Astyanax mexicanus: one gene and its partner. The protein of the gene in region 2 purifies or fractionates together with the protein of the main gene of each other region. This does not show direct contact. Links are inferred from orthologs where the notes say so. Each region holds a gene or a part of one and is shown on either strand. Other genes may lie near its edges.

What was found.
Region 1: the proteins of clstn1 (region 2) and apba2b purify together in Homo sapiens (affinity purification with western blotting; 3 studies listed by BioGRID and IntAct, with this or other methods). This does not show direct contact. The link is inferred for Astyanax mexicanus from reciprocal best matches to the Homo sapiens genes CLSTN1 and APBA2.

What each region holds. Positions count from the first base shown.
Region 1 is NC_064430.1:30,493,686-30,500,684, reverse strand, and holds the start of apba2b (amyloid-beta A4 precursor protein-binding family A member 2), read left to right. Parts: upstream 1-2,793; 5' UTR 2,794-2,907; intron 2,908-6,999. UniProt on the Homo sapiens protein: Putative function in synaptic vesicle exocytosis by binding to STXBP1, an essential component of the synaptic vesicle exocytotic machinery. May modulate processing of the amyloid-beta precursor protein (APP) and hence formation of APP-beta.
Region 2 is NC_064420.1:40,642,746-40,649,744, reverse strand, and holds the start of clstn1 (calsyntenin-1), read right to left. Parts: upstream 3,790-6,999; 5' UTR 3,658-3,789; coding exon 3,558-3,657; intron 1-3,557. UniProt on the Homo sapiens protein: Postsynaptic adhesion molecule that binds to presynaptic neurexins to mediate both excitatory and inhibitory synapse formation.

The DNA of each region.
Region 1 (6,999 bases), on a different chromosome or scaffold from region 2:
AGCCCATGTCTGTGTTATGTTTCTCCCTCATTTGTTCCCTAGTGCTCCTGCCCCTCTGTTTTCCTGTCATGTGTTCACAGCCACGTGTTTCTGTTATGTATCTGTCACGTCTTAGCCCTGCCCTAACCATCAGTGTTCTCACCTGTGTCTTATCTGTAGCCCTGCCCCCTCATCAGCCCTGCCCAGGTGTTCCTCCTGTATTTAAGCCCCTCTGTTTGTACGTGCTGTGTCGAGTCTTTTGTGTTTTCTAGTTTGTGTTTCCTAGCCTGTATATCTAACCTTGTATCCTGTTTTGTAGTGTTTAGCCTTCGTAGCCTAGCCTTGTATCTTAGTGTTTGTATCCCAGTCTTTACCCCAGTCTTAGTCTTAGTTTATGTAATCTGTTTTCTTTTGTTTTGTTTATTTAATAAAAGATTCTTTGCACTTACGTCCTCCTCCTCCTCCTCCTTCACACCCCTCCGTCTTCCGTGACACTTTCCCTCTCTAGCTCTCTCTCTCTCTCTCTCTCTCTCTCTCTCTCTCTCTCTCTTATTTATAAGTAAAAATATTGGGAAGTTTTACATTAAATCATTTAAAAAGAAGAATACATTTATAAAGAATTATACTAAATATGAGATAATAATATTTGGATAGTAAAATTAATAGCTGAACAGTAAAAGTAATAATAATTTATTAAGTTCTCTCTCTTGCGCTTTCTCTCTTTTATAAGTAAATATATTAGCAAATTTTACATTAAATCATTTAAAAAGAGAAGAGGTTTACAAAATCATAAAGAATTATATTAAATATGAGATAATAATATAAAGATAATAAAGATAACTAGTAAAGTAATAATGATTTATTAACTTCTCTCTCTCGCTTTTATAAGTAAATATATTGGGAAATTAACATACATTAAATAATTTAAATATAATATGTTTACAAAATCATTAAGAATTATATAAAATATAAGTAATAGTAAAAGAATGTGCATAGTAAAAATAACAGTAAAAATAATAATGATTTATTAATGATTAATGTCTCTAATGACTCTCTCTCTCTCTCTCTCTCTCTCTCTTTAATGTTACTCCTTATCCAGTTCTTTTTCTTGTTATTCATGTTCCGGGGCTGTGGTCCAGATTCCGGGGCTCATAGCGGTTATTATTGCTGTTTTTTTCTCCGCCCGTTTTCCGACAAGCCCCGCCCCCCCCCGTATTGCGGTTGGCTGGAGGCGCGAACACTGAGCTCTGAAGTGCGCTCCAAAACATCCAACTGCTTTAATTCATTATAACCAATGGCAGCTTTAATTAATTAATTAGTTGTATGTAATGTATTTTATATGTTTGTATTTTTTGTGAGGCAGATATAGAATCATTGAATCATTTTTTCCCTGTGCAAGATATCTAAAAGGTTTTGGAGGGAGCTTCATGATTTGTAAAAGATGAAAGGTCACAACGGGCTAAGCTCTACCACTATAATCAGGAGATCACCGGTTCGAATCCTGATTATGTAGCTTGCCAACAGCTGCCAGAGCCCCGAGAGAGCCCAATAGTCCTTGCTCTCTCTGGGTGGGTAGATAGGGCTCTTTCTCCTCATCACACCTAGGGTGATGTTGATCAACACTGTCCAATAAAAACAAGTATCTCCAATTTCATTCATATTTTATCTGACTACATTGTTTAAACATACAAACTGTACATTACCCTGTGTGAAAATTTATTGATAAATAAACCCATAGAAATTCTCCAAAATGGCCGGAAACAAAGTTAAGAAGATTTTGTCTCTTTTCTGTAAAGTAGCTGTTTTGGAGATGTTTTGGAGATATTTTAATTGGACTGCAATCATATTCATATGGAGTACATGTACACATAGAGAAAGGTGGTGTAAAGCCTTGAATATTAATCCATGTCTGTGCTTTAATTTGTATTTTTTGGTTCATATTTCTTTATTTGTTATTTGAAATGAAGGTCGTTTAATTCAAAACATTTCAAGAACTTTGAAAGTATCCTTAATTGCAGTCGCAAAGAATGATGAAACTGGCTCTCATCAGGACGACCACTAAATTATACCTAATATATATTAAAATAATATATGTTGGTGTGAAGCCTTGAAAATTTTGCTTAATATTTGTTTATTTGTTATTTAAAATGAGGGTCAGTAAATTCGAAGCATTTCAAAAACTTAAGTTACGAAAGTATCCTCAAGTGCAGTTGCAAAGACCATTAAAAACATTCTGATTAAACAGGACTGCACTAGAAATAGACGACCACTAAATTATACATAATATGTATAGAATATAGGGTACCACTTTAAAATTAGACTACCTTAAAAAGGGTTTATAAATGGTTTACACCTAGTTTATTAATGGTTACTAATTATGTTGTAAATGCCTTAAAAATCATTAATAATCAGTTATAACACATAATTAGAAAGGGCAACACTGATGGCTGTGGGTTCACTATTTGGCAAACAACAGGTCATTGTTGCCCTTTTTTACAAATGTGTTATAACTGATTATTAATGATTTTTAAAGGCATTTACAACCTAATTAGTAACCATTTATAAACGAATTGTAAACCATTTATAAACCCTTTATAAAGGTAGTCTTATTTTAAAGTGGTACCGAATATATAACGTGGTGTTAATATTTGTTTATTTGTTATAATGCCCTGATATGTATGGAAAACCTTTTCATGTTCTTCAGTAAATAAAATAAATGAGGGAAAAAAAAGAAACAAAAAAGGAACCAATCACAGCGCAGGGAGGGCGTGGCCTCCGGAATACGGGTGGAGTCAGAGCGCATCGCTTCTCAGAGCATCTCGTACTGAAGCGGCGGCGGCGGCGGCGGCAGGGCGGCGGGTCTGATCCGCGGGCAGCACGGAGCGCTTTACCCGCAGATCTACAGCAGCGGCGGCGGCGGATATACAGGTACTGCTCTCCCTGTGTTACACCTGTACCGAGATAATGCTCATTAATGACCTTTATACCCTGATTAAACAGCGCTTATCCATCCATCAGCCTCACATCCACCCACTACAGCACAGCGCAGCACAGCGCATGCTCTATAAGCTCATTTTTGGGGTTTGTCTTGTTTTAATGGATTTAAATATTAATATAAAAGCTGAAACACTCTATTCAGCCGGAGATGGAGCTGCAGCTGCTGTTTTCTATCACTTCTTCTGATTAAAAGTCTATGGAGATGCTCCTCTGTGAGCTGGGAGGATGCTATCAGTGGTACTTGCCCTGATTAACCCTTTAGTGCCTGTGTTTTTGAGACCTCCGGAACGTCAGTGTAATGATTAAATAATAAATGATCTCAAATAGAAATTAGGAAATTAATTAATATGTAATGAACAATGTTTTTCATTATTTTAAAATAAAGAAAAACATACCAGAATATGTTTTATACACCATTTACTTAGGTAACAGTTTTGCACATAATTGGCTGGAGTCAGCTTAATAAGGTAGAGTCACCTGGAATTCAGGCTTTCAGTTAACAGCTGTGCTGTGCTGTCAAGAGTTACTTCTTAATTATAATCATTTTGAGAGCATCAGTTTTAAAGTTGTGAAGATGTTGATTTGGTATACAGTGAATAGTGAATATTTGAGTAATGTTCTAATCCAGATTATGACAAGAACTACTCAATTATATAAAGAAAAAATACTTTTAAGAAATTAAGGTCAGTCAGTCTGAAACATTTTAAGAACTTTGCATCCTTAAGTGCAGTTATAAAGACTAACAAAAACATTATGATAAAAAAACATACATGAAAACATGTTCTAAACAATGTTCTAAACACATTTAAAAATATATACAAATATTTATATTAAAAACCTGTTCTCAGCGTTACATTTCTGCAATATCTGATATCATACAAAAAAGGGAAAAAACATTAATATACATTAAAATACATTCAAATCTATTGTGTCCAACACATCCTACTATACGAAACAAAAAAATGTGTTATTAACTTTTTATACTTTATATAGACATTTTAGACATTATTATATTCATTAAATGAACTTCTTCTAATAAATATCTTCTGGTAATTAAGTGAAGCTCCAGGTATTAAAGGGTTAAAAACTAACACTGTAAAAGTGATCAGCATTTGAACTGAAGTAAATTCGTTTAGAAATGAATAAATAGCTGGAGCTGAATGGTTTGGCCGTGTTTGTGTTTGGTATGAGGGTAAACTGATCAATCACAGATTCAGTGATGATGATCTACTGTATCTTACAGCATCAGCAGATCAGCCATACCGCAGAAACACCACCATCACAAACACAGTTTCAGTATCTGTCTGTTTACTGAACACAACTCAGATCTAAACTCAGAGATAAAAACACACCTTTCACCCACATCTTTCACCCAAACCTTCTACCCGCACCTTCCACCCAAAGCTTAAACCTAAATTGCACCATCCACCCACACATTTACCTTACACCTTTCACCTGAACCCTCCACCCAAACATTCCATTCACACAATCCATCCAAACCCTCCACCCAGACCTTCTATCCGCCCCTTCCACCCAAACCTTCTATCCGCACCTTCCACCCAAACCTTTCATCAACATCTTCCACCCAAACTTTCTATCTGCACCTTCCACCCAAACCTTTCATCCGCACCTTCCACCCAAACCTTCTATCTGCACCTTTCACCCAAAAGTTTCACTCAATTCCTATACCCAAACCTTTCATCCAATCCCTTTAACCAAGCCTTCCACCAAACCTTTTACCCACAATTTTCACCCAAACCTTCCACCCAAACCTTTCATCTGCACCTTCCACCCAAACCTTCCATCCGCACCTTCCACTCAAACCTTCCACCCTCACCTTCCACCCAAACCTTCCATCCGCACCTTCCACTCAAACCTTCCACCCTCACCTTCCACCCAAACCTTTTATCTGCACCTTCCACCCAAACCTTCCATCTGCACCTTTCACCTAAAAACAAACGCTGTAAAAGTGATCAGCATCTTCTATCTGCACCTTTCACCCAAAAGTTTCACCCAATTCCTTTACCCAAACCTTTCATCCAATCCCTTTAACCAAACCTTCCACTCAAACCTTTTACCAACAATTTTCACCCAAACCTTCCACCTAAACCGTCCACCCAAACCTTCTAACTGCACCTTCTACCCAAATCTCACCATCCACCTGAACATTCCCTCACACCTTTAACCTGAACCATCCACCCGCACCTTCCACTCAAACCTTTACCCAAACCTTCCACCCGCACCTTCCACTCAAACCTTCCACCTGCACCTTCCACTCAAACCTTTACCCAAACCTTCCAACCACATTTTTAACCTGATCCGTGCACCCAGCTCTGTGTGTGGGTACAGCTGCACCCAGTCTGTGTGGGTTTTGCAGAAAGGATGGATACGAATACAGTACAGTACAGATATAGACCAGAGACGAATGAAAAGAGAAAGAGAGTGAGAGAAAGAGAGATAGAGGGAGAGGGAGAGAGAGAAGGGAAAGATTAAAACAGAGGGATAAACAGAGGGTAAAAGAGAGAAGGAGAAAGAGAGAGGTAGATAATGAAAGGAAATATTAAGGGATAGAAGGCATGCTGCTGGATCATTATGCCACTGGGTGGATCTGTTTCTGTGACAGCGACCTGCTGTTAACTTGATCAAAATACCCCCCCCCCCCCTTCCCCCCAATAACCCCACCCATCCCCACCTCATCATCCACCCCCTCCACCTCCACAACCTTTCCTCCGTCACCGTTCCGGCTCTCCGTACGACTCTGGTGATGAAGGACAAACTGTGTTATTTATGCACCAGTGGGGGAATTTTAAATTGGACTCTTGTGGGGGAAAAGAGAGAGAGAGAGAGTGTGTGTGTGAGAGAGAGAGAGAGTGTGTGTGTAAGAGAGAGAGAGAGAGAGAGAGAGAGAGAAGGAAAAAAAATGGTCAAGATGAGGAGAACAGCAGAAATGAGAAAGTGAGATGAAAGTGAGAAGGTGAAGACATAAAGAAAAGTGGAGAATAAAAGATAGAGTAGAAAAAGAGAACAGAACAGAGAGAGAGAGAGAAAATAAAGGGAGAAACAGGAGTTTAAGGGGGAAAAAACAGAGAAAACGTATAGTTAGAGGGGAGAAGAGAAATAAGAATTAGCTAAGAGAATATAGAGAAAAAAAAGAAAAAGAAGTTAGAGAAGAGAGAAAAGTGAGAAATAGGAGATAGAAAAGAGGATAGAGAGAATTGATACTTATATATTTAGTATATATAAAAGAAAAAATAAAGAGTAAGAGGGGGAAATAGAGAGAAACCAAAAATAGAGAGTCAGCAAAAATAATAGAGAAAGAGAAATATGAGTTATAGAAGGGAATAGAAAGAGAAATAGGAGATACAGATGAGAATAAGGAGAGAAATAAAAATTGTGGAAGAAAATGGGGATGGTATTAAAGAATAAGATAGATAAGAAATAGGGAAAGAGAGGAGTTAGTGAAGAGATTAGAGGGAGGGAAACAGAAGTTAGAGGTTAAAATAGAGATAAATAAAAGATAAAGATAAGTATGAGTAAAAGAAAGCTATGATAAAGAGAGTGAAAAGAGAGGAATGGAGGCAAGAGAGGGAAAGAAAGTGAGACTAAGAGAAAAATAAATGAGTTAAAGAAAGAGTGAGAAATAAGAATAAGATAAGTAAAGAATGGGAGAAAAAGCAAAAACAGGAGACAGAACGGAAGAGATAACAGGTAACAGAGAGAGAGAGAGAAATAGGGGTAAGAAAAAAGGAGAAAGAGTGCAAAATAGGATTTAGAGAAGGAGAGAATATAGATTTAGATATTATCAAGAAGAAAATGATAAATAAAAATAAGAGACAGGGAATAACTAACTATAGTTTGTGCTTTAAATGAATTGGGTAAATCTCCGGTGAAGGATATTGGTTATGTTCTGTGTATAGTGAGTATAGTGAGTATTGTGAGTATAGTGAGTATTGTGAGTATAGTAAGTACTGTGAGTATTGTGAGTATAGTGAGTATTGTGAATATAGTGAGTATTGTGAGTAT
Region 2 (6,999 bases):
TCTATAAATAGCAAAATCAGAGAAACTGATTCAGAAACTGAAGTGGTCTCTTAATGTTTTCCAGAGCTGTATTTGACAGCATGTTAAATATTGGTAGCAACAAGAGACAAAATTGGCTTTTAGTGGGTTATGAGAGTTAAACTGAGGTGATGGATGTGTTGATGTGTTTATTATGCCGGAAAGTAAATACAGTCTGGTATCAGAGCACACTGGGGGCTCGATTCAGTGAAATGTGTACACAAAATCCAGCCAACGTAAATCCAGATATGATCCAGACATGGACAATACGATAATGCAGGGTGTAAACAAGCTCTGGATTGGTCAGATGAACCACCACCTGTTAGTTTGAAATGTTGCTCTTTGCTGTATTAAAAATGTACTAAAAATTGGGATTGAAACATGTTGTATGGCATTTTATGAATCACTGCACCTTTAATGGAAACAGAACACACAGCTCTATAAGCTGATTTGAGATCACTGAGAGAACCGAGCACCCAGGGCTGCACAACAATTCCTTAATTATCCAATATGTTGACTGGCGGCCTCTGGTCATGCATTCCCAGCTGCCTCACATGGCAACTACATTATGCTTTGACAATCATTGCCACCCATCAGCCTATTATTCGCCGAGCCCTGTCAGAGCGGCTCAATCCGAAACACCCTGATGTTTGGTTTGGTTCCTTTGCATGAAATGCGACATGCGCAGCCTATCCATAACCCTAATGTGACGTCGCATGGCCTCTAAGGTATTACATCCTGTAGGGAAAAACACACACACACGCGCGCGCGCAAGTGTGTTACTGCGCAAGAGGCAGCCTGCTATTACAAGCTGCTCCTCAGTGGTGGCAATGTTTCATAAGCACCTTTCATGCGCACTGTGTTTTTCTGCTTCATGCAAGATGCAGAGCTTTACAGAACGAGATGTCCTAATGCAGAACACCAGCCTAGATGTCCTCAAAGCCAGCAAGCTAGTGGTCAGCCTACCCTCCTTATCTTCTACTCAGCCACCATTTAATTACCCTGCACGTGCAATACCCTACCACACACACACACCTATCCATCCATCCCACTTCCCTGCCTGGCATCGCATCATAATGCCAATGCATTTTTAAAAAAGCCTCTCCAAAGATTCCACAGTTCTCCACACAGGACCTGCAATGCGTATAACCTCGTCCTTCTCACACACTGCCAGCTGCTACAAAATCTTATTTGTCTTTTCTCTTTTTCCTCCTCTCTAGCAACATCACGCCGACCGCACCTCTCTAGCCAAATCAATACGTCAAGCACATAGAAGACACCATTTAAATGGAGAAAGGCTTAACGAAATAGGAACACAGAACATTTCTAAGGTTAAATCTTGCGGTTTCCAGCTAAAAGCTAGAGTTAGCTATCTTACAGCCCTGGGGTGTAGTCTCACTGCTCACCATAGGTGATGGACACCTTAACCAACCATCATTTCAGAGAATTGTGAAAACAAAATCCAGCCAAAGTAAATCCAAATATGATCCAGACATTAAAAAACAAGCATAAACAGTGTGAAAAAACCAATAGATCCAAAAGCTGTTCTTTTATAATGTCAAATTGATGAAGCAAAAATTAATTAGTGGAGAACATGAAATGTAAATTTTCCTAGATAAAAAATAGAGTTTTGCTAGCTTACAGCCCTGAGGTGTAGTCCTTCTACTCAGAATAGACACCTTAACTAACCTGACCAGTAAAAAAATTGACTAAAAGATAGTAGCCAGCTACCATTTCTACATTTAGCTACAAACAAAATACAGGCTTTTGTATCTTATATAAAAATATTTGTTGGAGTGTTGTTTATTCACGTAAGGATCATTCACTATAGAGGGTTGTGTTTTTTATTATGCTGAAGTAGGGCTGTACAATACTGGACAAAATAGATACTGCAATATTTTGTTGGTCTGCGATATGTATTCTACAAATTGTATGGACTTGTGCTGCATTTTAGCGGGACATTTTTTTTTGTGAAAATCGTTTACTTCAGATTTTATTTTTTAAAAATGACGTTTTTTTTATTTTTCATTTATTTTATGCTACCTAATATATGTTGTTTATATAGGTCTAACAATGGTGTTACTATTAGAATTAACATAAAAAATGTATAATGTTAAAATTTGATATATCGTTTGAAAGCTTATAGTAAGGGTCTTAAAATGACAATATCTTTTATCGCGATAATTTCTGAAACGATATATCGTCCACAAAATTCTTAATATGCCAGGCCTATAGTGGGCATACAGCTCTGGAAAAAAAGTTCACTTAAAACGAGGAGTTTCTTTGATTTTATCAAATTGAAAATATCTGGAATACAATCACGAGAAAAATTGATTATTATAAACCATCAACCAGGCTGAACTGCTTAATTTGCACCAGGAGTGACAAAGTTATCCAAAAGCACTGTGTAAGACTGGTGGAGGAAAACATGCCCAGATGCCTGAAAACTGTGATTAAAACCAGGGTTATTCCACCAAATATTGATTTCTGAACTTTTTTAAAACTTTATGAATATGAACCTGTTTTTTTTTTTTTTTTTGCATTATTTGAGGTCTGAAAGCTCTGCACCTTTTTTGTTATTCCAGCCATTTCTCATTTTCTGCAAATAAATGATCAAAATGTCTAAATTACAATTTTTTTATTTGGAATTTGGGAGAAATGTCATCAGGTGTTTATAGAATAAAACAATAATTTTCATTTTGCTCAAACATATACCTATAAATAGATCAATCAAACGGATTAGCAAAAAGTAGCAAAAACTGATTCAGAAACTGAAGTGATCTCTTTTTTTACAGAGCTGTTTATGCCAGAAGAAATTAGGTAACTGATATGATTTAATTTGGTTTATTTGACATTTAACCCTGAAAGGTGATTGGTGCATATCGCCATGGCGATACTGAAATAATAGATATTGCTATATTGCGCAGCCCTATACTTGCTATATTAACCGTGATATATTGTCCTTTTTTAGACTGTAAACTGTCAAGAGACTCATATGAATGCTCATAATTTATAGTAATAAATAAACTATTATTTTTTATTTGATTATTATAAATATTTTCCCAGCTGAAGTCTATTTAGGTTAGCTAATGTTAGTTAACGCTAGGTTAGCTAAGCTAGCATCCAGCCCTTGGGTGTAGTCCCACCCACTGCTCAGGACAGACACCTTACCAACCTGCTATGTTTTCTACATTTAGAAACGAAATACCGACCTCTATATAATTTAGAAAAAATGTGAGGGTCATTTTTCACTCGAAATAGGCTTGCGTAAATTAATGACATTGAAAAACAGCTAAAAAGCTACAAAATGCACAGCAGCATCCATCCAATGTTCGGCTTGGACAACAACCAGGGCATCCTTCAAGGACCCCTCCGACCTCCTTTACTCAGATTTCCTGTCAAATGTAGGCTTATACCGGCTCACACACTCACAATTTAAGCCCATCACTCGGATAGAAAAGCGTAGTTAACCTAGCTGTTAGTTTAGCTAGCGATAAATCTCAGCCGTTAGCCTCAGAGCTCAGCGCTCCGCCGCTTACCTTTAGCTGCCTCCGCCGCCGCAGCAGCAGCGCACAGCACAGCGAGCAGCAGCCCGACCGCAGGGCGCTCCACAGCCCCACACCCGCCGCGAACCCGCATCCCGTCTTCTTCCCAAACGCCGAGGGGCTGAACCAGCGACTACTCTCCCCTTTCCGCCCGAAGACAACGTTTAAACCCGCGCTGCGATGAAAATATCCACAGGATGAGCAGCTAATATCTAAGATGGCTGCCGCCGCCACCGCCGTTCAGCTCTCCGCTACGGACTATCTCTCTCACTCCCTCCCTCCCTCAACCACTCACTCACTGAGTCTCTCTCTCTCCCTCACTCACCCACTCACTGAGTCTCTGTCTCTCACTCACCCACTCACTGAGTCTCTCTCTCTCTCTCTCTCTCTCTCACTCTCTCTCTCTCTCTCTCTCACACACTAAGTCTCTCCCTTTCTCTCTCCCTCACTCACTGAGTCTCTCTCTCTCACTCACCCACTCACTGAGTCTCTCTCTCTCTCTCTCACACTCACTCTCTCTCTCTCTCTCACACACTAAATCTCTCCCTCTCTCTCTCCCTCACTCACTGAGTCTCTCTCTCTCTCTCACACTAAATCTCTTTCTCTCTCTCTCCCTCACTCACTGAGTCTCTCTCTTTCTCTCTCACTCACTGAGTCTCTCTTTCTTTCTCTCTCCCTCTCTCTCGCACTCACTGAATCTCTCTCTCACTCACTGAGTCTCTCTTTCTTTCTCTCTCCCTCTCTCTCGCACTCACTGAATCTCTCTCTCTCACTCACTGAGTCTCTCTCTTTCTCTCTCACTCACTGAGTCTCTCTCTTTCTCTCGCACTCACTGAGGCTCTCTCTCTCCCTCACTCACTGAGTCTCTCTCTCTCCCTCACTCACTGAGTCTCTCTCTCTCTTTCTCTCTCTCACTCTCGCTCACTGAATCTCTCACTCTCGCTCACTGAATCTCTCACTCTCGCTCACGGAATCTCTCACTCTCGCTCACGGAATCTCTCACTCTCACTCACTGAATCTCTCACTCAAATTCAAAATTCAAATTCAAAGTTGCTTTATTAGCATGACAAATATTCACATTTGTATTGCCAAAGCTGTGATTAACAAATATATATATATTCCTGACAAAATTTAACATAAGATAACTGTACAGGTAAATCTGAACACAAGTTTAAGTAAACAATTAAATTAATTATTATAAGAAAAAAAAACATATGATTTATAATAAAGAGTAATAGAATGGTTCTGTACAGCTGTACACTCACTGAATCTCTCACTCTCTCACTGAATCTCTCACTCTCACTCACTGAATCTCTCACTCTCACTCACTGAATCTCTCACTCTCACTCACTGAATCTCTCACTCTCGCTCACTGAATCTCTCACGCTCACTGAATCTCTCACTCTCACTCACTGAATCTCTCACTCTCACTCACTGAATCTCTCACTCTCACTCACTGAATCTCTCACTCTCACTCACTGAATCTCTCACGCTCACTCACTGAATCTCTCACTCTCACTGAATCTCTCACGCTCACTCACTGAATCTCTCACGCTCACTGAATCTCTCACTCTCACTCACTGAATCTCTCACTCTCACTCACTGAATCTCTCACTCTCACTCACTGAATCTCTCACGCTCACTGAATCTCTCACTGACTCTCTTTCACACTCACTGACTCTCTCTTTTACTGACTGACTCTCTCTCTTACATGCAGACACTGCCTCTCTCACACTCACTGAATCTCTCACTCTCTCACTGACTCTCTCACACTTCCTGACTCTCTCTCACACTCTCTGACTCTCTCTCTCTTACTGACTGACTCTCTCTCTTACACTCAGACACTGACTCTCTCACTGACCCTCACTGACTGAATCTCTCTCTCTCTCTCTCTCTCTTTCTCTCTCTCAGTAAAATAAACGAAGATAACAGCATATGACTGGGCTTAATGCCTTTCTGGGAAACTGCCCCTATAAACAAGTAATTAATATGGTATATCAGGTATTTACATGTTTGTATAATTATTGTATTACTGTGGGAGGAGTTTAGTTGAGTATGGGTGAATCATACTTGATGAGTGTTGCTCACCATCCTTCTGGCAGTGGCATGTATATATATATATATATATTCTCTCTCTCTCTCTCTCTCTCTCTCTCTCTCTCTCTCTCTCTCTCAGCTTTGTCCACAGGGAGCTAGCTACGTGCTTGGTGACGTCGCAGCTCTGTTATTGTGGGCACGGTCTGATCTCTCACACAGTCAGAGAGAGAGAGGAAGAAGGAGGGAGGGAGGGAGGGACAGACAGTGCAGGAATAAACGCAGCAGGTGTAATCCGCTCTGCTGATTGTGGTTTGTTTATCAGGTTGTGTGGAGGTCTGTGGCGGTGGCCTGTGACAGTTTAATTCAGTGTGAGGGTAAATGATTAAATGTGGTATAGTCAGGTAAGTCATTCATTTGAATCAGTACTGATTCCACTTTCATTCTTAGTCATTTGTAAAGAACTTGGCTGTGGAATCGATACACATTCACTGTATATGAAGACTGAATGCCTGACACACTTCCCGTGGCTCTCTGGCTCTCTGCAGCAGCTCTTTTATTGTTGTCCTTTTGAACTATAATATCACTGAATACACACTGCTTTATTGCAGCGGCACCAGCACTCACAGGTGGTCATATACAAGAGTGATGAATAAACACTGGATGTAGTCATTAACTTATAGGGGCAGTTTCCCAGACAAGGATTAGACCTAGCCATATACTATATTATAGTATATAGACTAGGTTTGCCAAGTTGCCAGTGTTTAACCTTACCCACAAGATAGCACCTCACAACTTACTTACTTTACTTAATGAACAAGTAAAATACTGATATGTCATGACTTTTGGCACATATTTCATATTTCAGTTTTTTGTATGTAGATGAGTAAACAGTATTTTAAGTCATTTTTTTATTACTGAAATATATATTTTATATATATTGTATTACTTTAATATAATTAATAATTATATTATTAAGCTTCCAAATAATTAGTTTAATTATTTAGTTTTCATATTAAACAGATTTGTTTTTTTTCTTTGTTTGCAAAGCTTGTTTAGATAGATTATCTTTATTGCAATGCAATAAAGCTGCTTAGAGAAGCTCATGTCTGCTGTTTTGATGAAACCGGCTTCGAAGTGTCTGAATATTTACTACAGGACTATATATATTTCTGCTGCTATCTAAAAACGAAAGGCATGCTGCCATGCTGCAAGAGAGTTCCTAAAATAAGACTGGACAGTGAAATATCTCACATTCTCCTGTGGATAATTTATGGTTACTGGAGTCACCTTCACCTCTGCTCTGGTCCTGCTGTGCAGAGCTACAGGGACACATCCATTCTCACCTTGGATCAGAGCTATAGAGGAGCTACTTTGTCAGCTTGGCTGTTTCAGGGCCAGT